3 linked regions of the Tamandua tetradactyla genome follow. The protein of the gene in region 1 purifies or fractionates together with the protein of each later gene. This does not show direct contact. Links are inferred from orthologs where the notes say so. Each region holds a gene or a part of one and is shown in the gene's direction. Other genes may lie near its edges.

Evidence for each region.
Region 2: the proteins of HNRNPA2B1 (region 1) and HNRNPH3 fractionate together in Homo sapiens (co-fractionation; 3 studies listed by BioGRID and IntAct, with this or other methods). This does not show direct contact. The link is inferred for Tamandua tetradactyla from reciprocal best matches to the Homo sapiens genes HNRNPA2B1 and HNRNPH3.
Region 3: the proteins of HNRNPA2B1 (region 1) and HSF1 purify together in Homo sapiens (affinity purification with mass spectrometry; 3 studies listed by BioGRID, with this or other methods). This does not show direct contact. The link is inferred for Tamandua tetradactyla from reciprocal best matches to the Homo sapiens genes HNRNPA2B1 and HSF1.

Annotation. Positions count from the first base shown.
Region 1 is NC_135327.1:97,110,906-97,114,649, forward strand, and holds the start of HNRNPA2B1 (heterogeneous nuclear ribonucleoproteins A2/B1), read left to right. Parts: upstream 1-1,569; 5' UTR 1,570-2,349; coding exon 2,350-2,355; intron 2,356-3,744. UniProt on the Homo sapiens protein: Heterogeneous nuclear ribonucleoprotein (hnRNP) that associates with nascent pre-mRNAs, packaging them into hnRNP particles.
Region 2 is NC_135339.1:29,013,136-29,016,879, reverse strand, and holds the start of HNRNPH3 (heterogeneous nuclear ribonucleoprotein H3), read left to right. Parts: upstream 1-1,258; 5' UTR 1,259-1,490; intron 1,491-1,606; exon of another isoform or gene 1,607-2,349; intron 2,350-3,744.
Region 3 is NC_135332.1:82,256,547-82,260,290, reverse strand, and holds the start of HSF1 (heat shock factor protein 1), read left to right. Parts: upstream 1-1,172; 5' UTR 1,173-1,222; coding exon 1,223-1,339; intron 1,340-1,396; exon of another isoform or gene 1,397-1,520; intron 1,521-3,744. Other genes in the region: ribosome biogenesis protein BOP1, read right to left, coding at 801-866. UniProt on the Homo sapiens protein: Functions as a stress-inducible and DNA-binding transcription factor that plays a central role in the transcriptional activation of the heat shock response (HSR), leading to the expression of a large class of molecular chaperones, heat shock proteins (HSPs), that protect cells from cellular insult damage.

The DNA of each region.
Region 1 (3,744 bases):
AAACACATATAAATTCATAGAGAAGCAGACCTGAGCGCTTATGTAAATTATCAGTATTACACGTCTGAAAGTACATCAGTATTCTAACCAAGTGGATTCAGAAGACCTTAATGGGGATATTCGTACTTGAGATAGAGCTTTCCCCGGGCCAAAAAAAAACGGTGGACTAATTTTATTTCTGATCTAAATCCCGTATGTACCAGTTCTATACATAGCTTTTTAAAAAGGACAAACGCTTGTTCAAAATCAAACACAATTACCTAAAAAACCACATAGGTAAAGTACGTGGAATTTTTCCCCAAGACCTTGTCAGTCCAAAAGAACCTCTGATCGAATCCCAACTTGATTTCTCTTGAAAAACCCTCCCTTATTCCAATTACTCGTTTAAAAACTAAAGAGAAAACACACCGAGAAGGTTCATTCCCATTTACTGTCACTTTTAAAAACAAATTGCTTTCCTAAATTCATCGGATCCCCCTTGGCCCCAGGTGTCTCCCGGCTTAATTCCAGAGTAATGCAGCCTGGGGCACCCCCGCCCCCCCCACCCGAGAGCGCGGGCCTCGTGGTCAGCACATCCGCGGGGAGAAACAAAGGCCGCGGCGCTGGGGCTCAAGGGCACTGCACCACCCGGCCGCGCCACCCTCTCCCCCCTCCCGCCGCGGTGGCCACGAAAGGAGCGCCCGCCGCAGCCTCCGGCCAGCAGGCCGCGCGCGCTGCCAGGCCTCGCGGAGGGTGGAAACTGCGCCGCTTTCCCAGGAGGCCCAGGCTGCGACCAGGCTTGGCGTGGCGGGCTGCTTGCTCATCTGGAGCAGGGCTGGGGGAGGGGAAAAGGAAATGCGCTTTGTCTAGAAATACGGCGGCTGCCGCCACGTTTCTCCACCCTCTGGAGGACAGTCTCGTACCCTCGACTAACTACAGGCACAGGCCCTACGCCTGGCCCGCCGAGGAACCTCCGCTCGCCCAACTCCTTCGCACTAGACCCGGACTAAGGGTCCGGCGGGAGCAGGCGACTGAAGGGTGCTCGGGGTGCATTGTGCTATCTTAAGGACCACCACCGAGTCATAACTACAGAGAAATAAAGACACCGACTTCACCGCCTCCGAGCTGCTCCAGGTCCCGGGTCTGCAGCGTCTCCAGCCCTGCGCGCCTCCAGCTCGAGCCACATCCGAGGGGGAGGGGGCTGGAGAGCTGCGCGCGGGGCCGCCGGGGGATGGGGGGGAGCGGCACCGCCCACGCTAGGCGGCCGCGAGGGGCGGGGTGGGAGCGGGCGTGCGTACGTGCGCGCGCGCCGGGGGAGGGGATCAGCGCCGCGCCCGCCAGGAGCCGGGGGCCGGCGGTGGGGAAGGGAGGGGTAAGCGGCGGCGACAGCGGCACTCACCGTTCGCGGCTTGGCGGAGGGAGAGGGGAGGAGGGGCGAAGGCGGTGGCCGGAGTCTTCTCGGTGAATGCTTTTCTGCTTCGCTGCGGCGGCTGCGGCTGGCGCCAAAGCCGGGCTCCGCCCACTTCCTCGCCCCCGGGGGTGGTCACATCTAGACGCTGGGATGGGGGTGGAGAACAAGTTGGGAGGAGGGGGAATGGGGAAGTGAGAAACAGTGCCCATCTTTGACCACCCTGTCGGAAGACCTTTACGAGACCCCAGGAGTCGGCTTCAAGGACGTCGGGCAGGGTTAGCTCGGTGGAGGGTGAATAGTAATTTGATTTGAAGTCGCTTCGGGTGTTTCCGGAAGGAGCCGAGTTAGTTCTCGGGTGGAAAAGGGAGAACGAAAGGGGCAGACAACCAACATATTTATGGCGGGAGAACCCCGGGAGGCGGGTTCATGAAAGAACTTGCTGCGGGAACCCCTTTAGGGCAGCGGATTAAGCTCCTCCCGACAGCGTTAATTTCAAACTGCGCGACCGTTTCTCACCTGCCCTGCGCTAAGGCGGGGGCGGGACCCAATTCTGAGAAAGGGATACGTAGGACTCGAGCGTTCCGCAACTCACTGTCCCCATTTACGCAAATGACGTCAAGCACAGCCACTCCTGCAAACGGGGGGAGGGATACGCATTTAGCGTAAGGCCTGCGTGGACCGTTCCCGCCATTGGCGGCGGTTAGGGCGTTTACGCAACGGCCTGACGTAAGGGAAGACGCGTTAGTCGGAGGGAAGGTTCTAGAAAAGCGGCGGCAGCAGCTCTAGCGGCAGTAGCAGCAGCGCTCGGGCCGGTGCGGAGGTGTTCCTAGCGGCGTTGTTTCCTGAGCAGCGGCAGTTCTCACAACAGCGCCAGGACGAGTCCGGTTCGTGTTCGTCCGCGGAGATCTTTCTCATCTCGCTCGGCTGCGGGAAATCGGGCTGAAGCGACTGAGTCCGCGATGGAGGTAACGGGTTTGAAATCAATGAGTTATTGGAAAGGGCATGGCGAGGCCGTTGGCGCCTCACTGGAAGTCGGCCACGCGCCTCCGTGGAAGAGCGCTAGTGAAAATTGGCCGTTTCCGAAGGGGTTGATCTGGAGATATGTTTGAGGGGATTCGTTGGCGGAGGCCTAGTGGTACAACGTCTTCCCCACCCTTAGCCTCCCGGCGCCATTTCCTTTTACCGGGGGTGGGGGATGGAGAATTTTTACATGGGAAACGCAGTCCTTTTTCGGTGGAAAGTGAGGCGCGGAGGCGGGAATTATCTTTTTTAAAAACACGCTCATTTGGGGGTTCTAGCGTTTCCGCGTTTGAGCTTTTCGGCGGCCTTGGGGCCCTCGTGAGTGAGCCTGCGGAGCTTCCCCTCCCCCTCTCCGGGGAACCGGATTTGGCGTCCGCCATTTTCATCTCTCTCCTATCTCGCAACGGTTTTCTTTTAACTCTGTTAGTTCTGCTAGTTTGAATCCTCTATCGAATAATGGGAATAGTTAACTGTTTGTTTTTTCTCCCGGGCTATTTTCGTATTGTTTCGAGGTGGATTCCGAGTGTTCTGTGAGCTTGGATCTTTAAAGTCCTTGCGCACCTCGTTAAAGGCTCTCTTCCTTCCCTTCGATGAAATGGCGCCATTACGTTCCGAAACCACACGGCTGGAGTGGGGGTGGGGGGTGGCGCTCGCCGGGCTTGCTTCATACGGTTTAACAGAAGGTGAAGCGCCTTGGACCGGGTTTAAGGCGAGCCATATTACAAAGAAACCATTTCAAGTTTTCGAGCCCGTGTTTCTTTGAATAACGGTTTTATCTGGATCTGAAGCGATTAAAAGTGCGGTGAGGTCGCAGGAAACTTTAGAAGTACAAAAGCAAAATTTGGAGGACGCAGATTACGAACTACAGCGAGGGTGGCAGGGGAAGGATATTACTTTGGGATGGGGGAGAATATCAATAGCAAAATCTTATCCTGAAGGATTCTTTTAAATTATAGAATTAATATTTTAAATAAACGCTTATACTGGGATGGTTTAATTTTTGTTGGCAAAAACATGGAGCTTCACACGTGATAAGCCAATAATTAAGACCAAAGTAATAAAAATGTTTTTGTTTTTTAGTGTTGAACACTGGTTAAAACGTGACTCGGTCCTTAATGCGTGTATTGCTATGAATAAAACTGTTTAAGGCCTGGGTAGCTATATGTTTGAACTTTACTTTTTTTTAATTTGTCTGCAATCGTGGTTGATAATGACTTTGATGAGCATTAAGGTCTCAAGCAAAGGGGGTGGGGTCCTACCTGGTTATTTCGACCCTAAAGTATATTTATAAAATAATTTTGTTTATAATCGATAGAGTGGACATCGGGTAAGTT
Region 2 (3,744 bases), on another chromosome or scaffold:
CTAGTACTTAGTCTTAAACAGGACTGAGGATGAATTAAGGCCATGAAATGGAAGTTTCCATTATATAAAGGTAACTGGACTCCTGTCTCCATTCTGCACACTGCAAATCTCATGGGTGGGCAAAATTATTCATGCCTCTCCACTGCTAATATCCCTTCCCGCTGCGCCCCGACCCCACCCTGCTCCTTCCAGGCTTCCCAATGTTTGTAGCATGAAGTTCACATCTTATGGCAGGACACAGAAGATTATGTACAAACTAGCTTTGTCCACATTTCCAGCCTTAACATATTCCATAAAACTGTGGTCAAATTCATCTCCTCTCTCCTCACTCGATGTGTGTTCTTACCCTTGCACTTTCATTTGCAGGAATCTTACCAGGATCTCCCTTCACCTTTGCCACAGAAATTCGATTTTTATTTTTCTTTGAAACTTACAATAGGCCACAAGGCGTCTTTGGGAACCTTGGGGGCACAACAAGGCACAAGCAAGAAGACATTTATTAGGTGCCACTTGTATGCACAATAATTAAGAATACAAACGTCGGTTTAGAAAATCGGAATGCGGCCGCCATGAGCGGCTGATCTGTCACTGAAGTAGGAAAAAGACAACACGTAGGAGGAGAAAACCCGGAATGATATGTAGGGGAAAAAAGGAAACGTGTGGCAAAACCAATCAAGCAGCATTTCGGTGGCTGCTAACCGGTCCGACTGGGGGCGCTGCGCCGACGCGGCGCCGAGGCCGAGGGGAGCAGAGAAGCGCCAAACCGGGTGCTGAAATCGGGCCTCACGGGGAACTTTAGTGTCATCGCAGGTAGAAAACAGTTCTATTTTTACTGCATAACGCAAACATGGTGGACAAGAAAAGCTCTCCCGGCATTTGGCGATCAAACCACGTGGAATCTTTGTACGCAGGTGATGCTGGGTAAGAGTGAGGCCCTTAGGGAATTTGTTCTTAGTGCGGCAGAGTAAGAGAACTTGTCCAAACCGCGTCACCACGGTTCCTTCACAACACACTGGGAGAACTACTACTCCCACCTCACATCCTCCTCGAGAGGGCAGGAAGAGGACTCTGAGAATTTGATGGTTTTACACTTAGCAAGAAAGGGGAAGTCGGCCGCAGGTCTTTGTAACTGAACCAATGTCTTAGTTTTTGTACATTTTACTCCCAACTGGGTAGTCTGTCAGTGCGCATGCGCACTTTTTTGCTGCCCGCGCCAAGGCGTTACCGACTCTCTTGTCTCGCGAGAGCCGGGCAGCCGGTTTTCGTTGCTCTCGCTCCACCCCCTCCTTCTCGCTCGCTCTCTCCCATCCCCCAAGCCAGTAGCTCTGCTGCGCAGCTCCCTTAGCGGTTACCACCGCCAGAGACGGTTGGAAGAACCGTTGTGGAGGGCGCCACACGAGGGGAGCGACTTCTGCCTCCTCACGGCCGTACCCAGTGAGCACCAGAGTCGGCGTTACCGTCTCCTGACAGGGTATCTGAAGTAAAAGGGGGTAGGTTGGGCTGGTGGTTCGAGAGTGGAGTCGGGAGAAGGACGAGAGAGACTGGGAGGGGGTTGGGTGGGGTGGGGGTGGGGAGTGTGGAGGTCGCTACTCCGAGGCGGGCTGCGCCTCCCGGGCGATCTCCCACTTCAAGGAGGGCGGCCTGCCGGGGGGAAGGGCTTGTTCGTGTGGACTTCAGTGGACGAAGCCGAGGTCCGAAGTGGGGGTATCCAGCATTTCTCCTCTTTCCTTGCTGGTTTTGCCTCCGCCATTTTGGGTACTGTGGCGCGGCCACCTCAGCTTCCCGCCCTTCCCTGCTATTTCTGTTTTTTTGGTCCCCCAGCTTTCGAAAACTGATTTAGAAGGCCGGGGGGGTCAAAGCGCCCTGGAATGGATGTGGGTTGGAGTGAAGAGAGCTGGGAAAGGCCGGGTATTCGGGTCGGGGGAGGATCAGGGCTGTCGGGCGCGCTCCCGATGGAAATGGCGCCGGATGGGCCTGACCTCCCACCGCGGCCACCTTTCCTCTGCAGTTTCTGCTGGGCTACCTGGCCTGGCGGGACTGCGAGTGACTTCTGACGCAGATTCCCAAGATGAGAGAGGCTGAAGCTGGGGGAGGAAAGCCAATGGCGACGAAGGCGCTCAACTCCCAAATCCGGGACAAAGGAGGCAACCGGCCTCCTTTGTAATTCCGCCGCCCGGTGGCGAAGGTTTTTAAACCAGGCTTGGCTGCCGGTCTGGGAGGGGGAAGGGGCAGGGGCGTACTCTCCCTAGCTTTCTGGTCTCTAGGACAGCTAGATAAACGAAAAGCTCCGGGGAGGAATAAAGGACGCTTAGCCGGCCCTTATATTCCAGATTTGGAACTTCGAAAAGAGTACGTACTCATTTTCCAAAGGGGTTTATTCACGCTTATCTTAAACGTTTTTTAAAGATTGGGCGTAAAATCATTTGCGACTAGAGCAGTGGGTGAATTACCAAGCAGGAATGTGAAACGCCTATTTCACGTAGGTCGGCTGGGCCCACCTTATTGAATTTTGGGGCGGGGGCGGAGTGGCTTAGCAATGATTTCTGTATACTTTTGGTACAGACGAGTTAGAATTTGTTTTTAAATAGGAGTATTAGTTTTGGGAAATATGTTAAAAACAGCCAGTGGTGGTAAATACATGTATATGAGAATTGAGTTATTAATTTTTAACATAAAATTTCCAGGTTGTATTTTGTGCAGAGATTTCTTTTTTGACAGTAAGGCTGTAGAAGTAAAGTAACATCCAAAAAGAAGTCTAGTTTCTTTGGTGGGTAAGATTTTTTTTAGTGTAGGAGTAAGATTTTGACTAAGGAAATAAGCCCATAATAGCAAAAAACACATACTTTAAGCCCAGCGATGTGGTGGTGGTGATGATTTTTGGTCCTTAGAAAACGGAATCGATCGATAATTCGCACTGAGTACAGTTCAAGAGTTGGGGTAGGGGACTGGGCAAGGACTGAGAAAAAGAATTTCCAATAATCTTTATAAGAAGTCGGTTTTTTGGTTTTTAAAAAACACCCTCCTGTCGTTTAAGATTATCTGTGATGCTTAAGGTTGCTAAGGAAAAGTATCAGTCTTGAAACAGGTTTTAGGTAAAACCTTTGAAAAGACATCTAAAAATAGTATAAAACTAACAGCTTCCCAATTGAAGTAGCCTTCAGATTTTTTTCTGCACTTTTTTCATCAGCATCATAGTCTGGGAATCCGTCTAATTGTTGATTTTGAATAACCATGTTATTTTTAAGTGCCCTTATATCATGTTTTGGTAAGCAAAGTGGAGTGCAGTAGATAACTTTGGTCTAGTAAACGGTCATTTTAGAGAACTCCGTTTAGGTACTGGTGGTGTGTTTAGATTTTTTAATTACAGTTAAGGAGCAAGCATATCGGAAAGAAGGAGCAATGAAAATTTTCCATGTTTTAAAACTTCCCCCACTTTTCAGGACCATTGGGCTCCCTTTAGGAAGTTACTGTTGTGCTTCAGAAGGTAGAATATGCCTATATTGTAAAGGGAGTCTGTATTTGAGTTGGTCTTAATCAGATGCTTTTTAGAAACAGCTTTATTGAGAGAGAATTCACATTCCGTAAATAATACCTGTTTTAAATTTACAGTTCAGTGGTTTATACTACATTTAGAAGTAACCACAATCTAATTTTAGAACGTTTTTATCACCCCAAAAAAGGAAACCCCTACAGTCAAGCAGTCATTCCCCAGGTCACACCCCCAGGCAGTCAGGAATCCGTGGA
Region 3 (3,744 bases), on another chromosome or scaffold:
TACATCAGGTGACGGCAAGAAACATAGCCTAAAAGGGCTTGGGAGCAAACACAACGAACTACTGAGGCATCCGCCAAACTGGAGGGAACACCATGCTCAGACCCAAAAGGCTGCTGGCTGGCTGGGGGTCACAGTGCCCACACCTCCAAGCAGTGCAGCTGAGTGGAGCCGACTGGGAGAGCTCAACCATGCAAGCCCTGGATGCAGGTAAGCCTCGGACAAGCCAGAGCTGAGGGGCAGTGGCCCTGCCGCTGCTGAGGTGGGTTGTATTTGCCTATTTCGTTCTCTTAAGCTTTTACTTTTTATGAGAAGCCAAGCAATATGTTAATGAAATAACACAACACAAAAAAAAGTACTAAGGACACAACTGGTACAGGACCCCCCTCCCTCCCATTTCCCTCCTCAGATACTGTTCCTCAAGCCCACGTAACTGCACCCGACGCGGGACCACCCCTTTGCACGGCTGTGCTCCGCCCGCGACTCCCGACGCTGCGGCTCCAAGAAGGCCCAGCCACCCGGGTCCAACAACAGCGCGCAGGTTCCCAGTGTCCGCGCGCTGGGAGGGCGCTAGGGCCTGCCAAGTCGTCTCTTGTTCGCCGCTGACCGCGTGGATAACATAGGCCGGGGGTACAGCGCCAGCAACCCCCCGGTAGGACCAAGGCAGGGAGGTGGCGCCAGTGCCGAGCCCCGTGCGCAGCACGTGCGCTCCGGCCCCAGTCCCCACGTGCGCGCCGCCCCGGGTTCGGCTGCACCCCCACCGCGCTACCATCACACACGCCACGCCGGTGCCCCGTGCCCACCTCCTCCGGTTCCTGCTCCGGCCCCGCGGGCCGCTTTCCGGACCGCGAACCCCGCGTCCCCGGCATGCTTCGCAGCGCGCCCGCTTGGCTCGGCTAACGTCCTCTTCCGGCAGCGAAGAGGCCCAACGCACGCGGGGCGGGACCGGGTCAGAGGGCACGATCGGTTCCGCCCCACTCCGATTGGCGGGCGGCGGCGGGGCGGTGCCGTCTGCGCGCGCGCGCGCGCGCGCCGCTGGGTCGTGGGCGGTGCCGTCTGGAGCGCGCCCGTCGCAAGATGGCGGCGGCCATGCCAGGCCCCGGGGCCGTGTGTGCGCAGCGGGTGGCGGCGGCGCGGCCCAGGCGGCAGGCGCGGCGGCGGCTCTAGCGCGGTCCTCGGCCCCTGCTCGCGGTCGGCCTCCTGGCCTCTCCTCGCGTGGCCCAACATGGATCTGCCCGTGGGCCCCGGAGCGGCGGGGCCCAGCAACGTCCCGGCCTTCCTCACCAAGCTGTGGACTCTCGTGAGCGACCCGGACACCGATGCGCTCATCTGCTGGAGCCCGGTGAGGGGCTGGGCGCGGGCACGCGTGCGCGCTGGAGGCCGGCCTGCCGGGGCGCGGGGCGCGGGGGCCTCCCTGGAAATGGGGGCAGGCGGCCCGCCAGTCTCCGGTGAGGGAGCTTCCACCCGTGGAACTCGAGAAAGGCGGGGGCCGTGTTCCCACCTGCTAACCCACCAAGCTTGAGGTACCGCCCAACAACCGCCGCGGGGCCACGAAGGGGGATTTTTCAGTGGTCCCAGACCCAGAACCCTTGAGAGGAAAAGCGGCTCTGAAACTCAGTCCCCTTTGAAGGGTGTTTTGAGCCCCAGGAAGAAATGCTTGTAGTCTTCACACACACACGAATTGGTTCGGAGGCTGCTGTCACTGTAGCAGGTTCAAGCCTACCGCATTCCTCACCCTCCTCCTTGCTCAGCTCCTGCTCAGCTGAAGTTTTGTTAGGAGGGGGAGAATGGGCCTCCTGCTTTGGTCTTTTGCTAAGTGTTAGACGTTGCAGAAGCATAGCTGTCCTTAGAACAAGCATTTGTTTCACTAAAAACATCACGCCAAAGTGTTTCCTAGGGTGGTATGATCAGCAGTTCGGCAGAGAATAACAGGACTCTGCCCGTGGTCGCAGGGCACTGCTGTATTGGGAGAGAAAGGGGAATGAGAACAGAAAGTACAGCGTCAGGATGCACAAGTTTCTCTCCTACGGGTTTCCCAAAAGTGGTTTTGTTTTCATTCTTTATGGGCCGTCTCTGCTTGAGTCCCTGTCTTCAGTTGCCTGGTAGCAGTTTTGTTTACACCGTTAGGCCCTGCAAGACTGGGCAGCTCCGGTTTGCAGAGGGAAGTCCGTGATTGTGTCTGGAGTTGGAAATCCGGGTCTACTGTCCATCGTGTTTGGCAAACGCCCTTGCCTGGGCTGGCAAATGACTAGTGGCCTGAAGGCTGCCCTGTCTGGAAGGGAATAGGGCTGAGCGCGTCTGGGCACGCTTGATCTGGGAGCGAAAAGGGCAGAGTTTAACCCTGCTGAGCGCTTCCCTCTAAAGAGGCCAGGCCTGTGAGCCCTTGACAGTGACGCGTACCCAGGCGGAGGCTCTCCACCTTCTGGGGCGCCTGTTGCTAAAGCCCTGCCCAGCCTGAAGGGCGTTCACTGCCCTCACTGCAGCATTCTTGTTAGGTTTTGCCCACCTTCCTCTCCTCTATGGAGGCACAAGTCCTGCAAGGGGCAGTGTACTTTTCCTCAAGCTATCTCCATGTCATAGTCATTCGTTCATCCTCAGCCTCGAGCTTTCCCAACTAAGGGAAATGATTCCACATCTCTCTCTTCCTTTATCCTAGCCTCTCCTTCTATCTGGTCCTCGTTCTTCTGAACTAGCTGGAAACACTCTTAGCCAGCTGGGGCAGACATCAGGCTCCTCCAGATATTCTAAGCCTGTTCCTCAGGAGATGCATCCTACCCTGTCGTGCTCACAGTCTCGGCCCTGCATGGCACAGACTTATCAGATCAAGTCTATGGCCAGCCTCCACCAGTGCTGTCCACGGTGGCCTCTCCAGGGTGCTCTGCTCTCTTGCTCCCAGCCAGACACATTCCCTGTGGGTCCTGTCAACAGGTTCTGTCCGTGAAGGGACAGGTTGGAACATGGAGAGGTAGTTCTGCTGGTCAGCTTTAGACCAAACAGCTAGAGTTGGTGGGTTGTGGGGCTGCTGTTCTCAGAGAGTACAGAAAAAGTACTGGCTGAAAGGTGGAGGGAGGCCCATTTCCAGGGGGGGCAGAGGACTGCTGGCCCCAAGAAAAGAGCGGTCACCCCCAGGCCATGGCTTCCAAGGGCGCAGGTGAAAGCCCCACAGCCGCAAAGGAAAGTCCAGCTCTTTCTGCAGATCTGGCTGCCCAGAACCCAGCCCACCGGGCCTTAGGAGGCTGATATGGTTGTGCTCTCAGGTGCCCTGTCTTTGTGCTGAACACTTCTCACTGCCTGCGGATGCTGGCAGCTTCCCCCAGGCTAAGATTCTGGACCCCCTCCCTAACCCTTGGTTGGTGGCGATGGGCTTGCCGCAGCTGCTACATCCTTGGGAGTGTTATCTTCCCACCCCACAAACCTCTGTTCATCAAAGATGCACCGGGTACAGTGATTTTACCAGAGCAGGCCAGGGCCTCCTGAGATCAGGTGCTCCTCAGATAGGTCCCAAAGGACGGCACAGCCCATGCTTATCCTTTACAGGGGGTCTTTAGTGACTGCAAGGGTTAGCATGAAGGCATGAGCATGGGGTGGACTCCTGGGGCTTGGGTCTCTGCTGTAGTAGAGGGAGACCTGGGACCAGACGGACGGACCTGGTGGGTGTTGGGAAGAGAGCCATAAGAATGCCCCCTACCCCACCCCACTGGCTTCTCCATGTCTTGTCCCAGAGGTGCCCAGAGACTCAGACAGGGC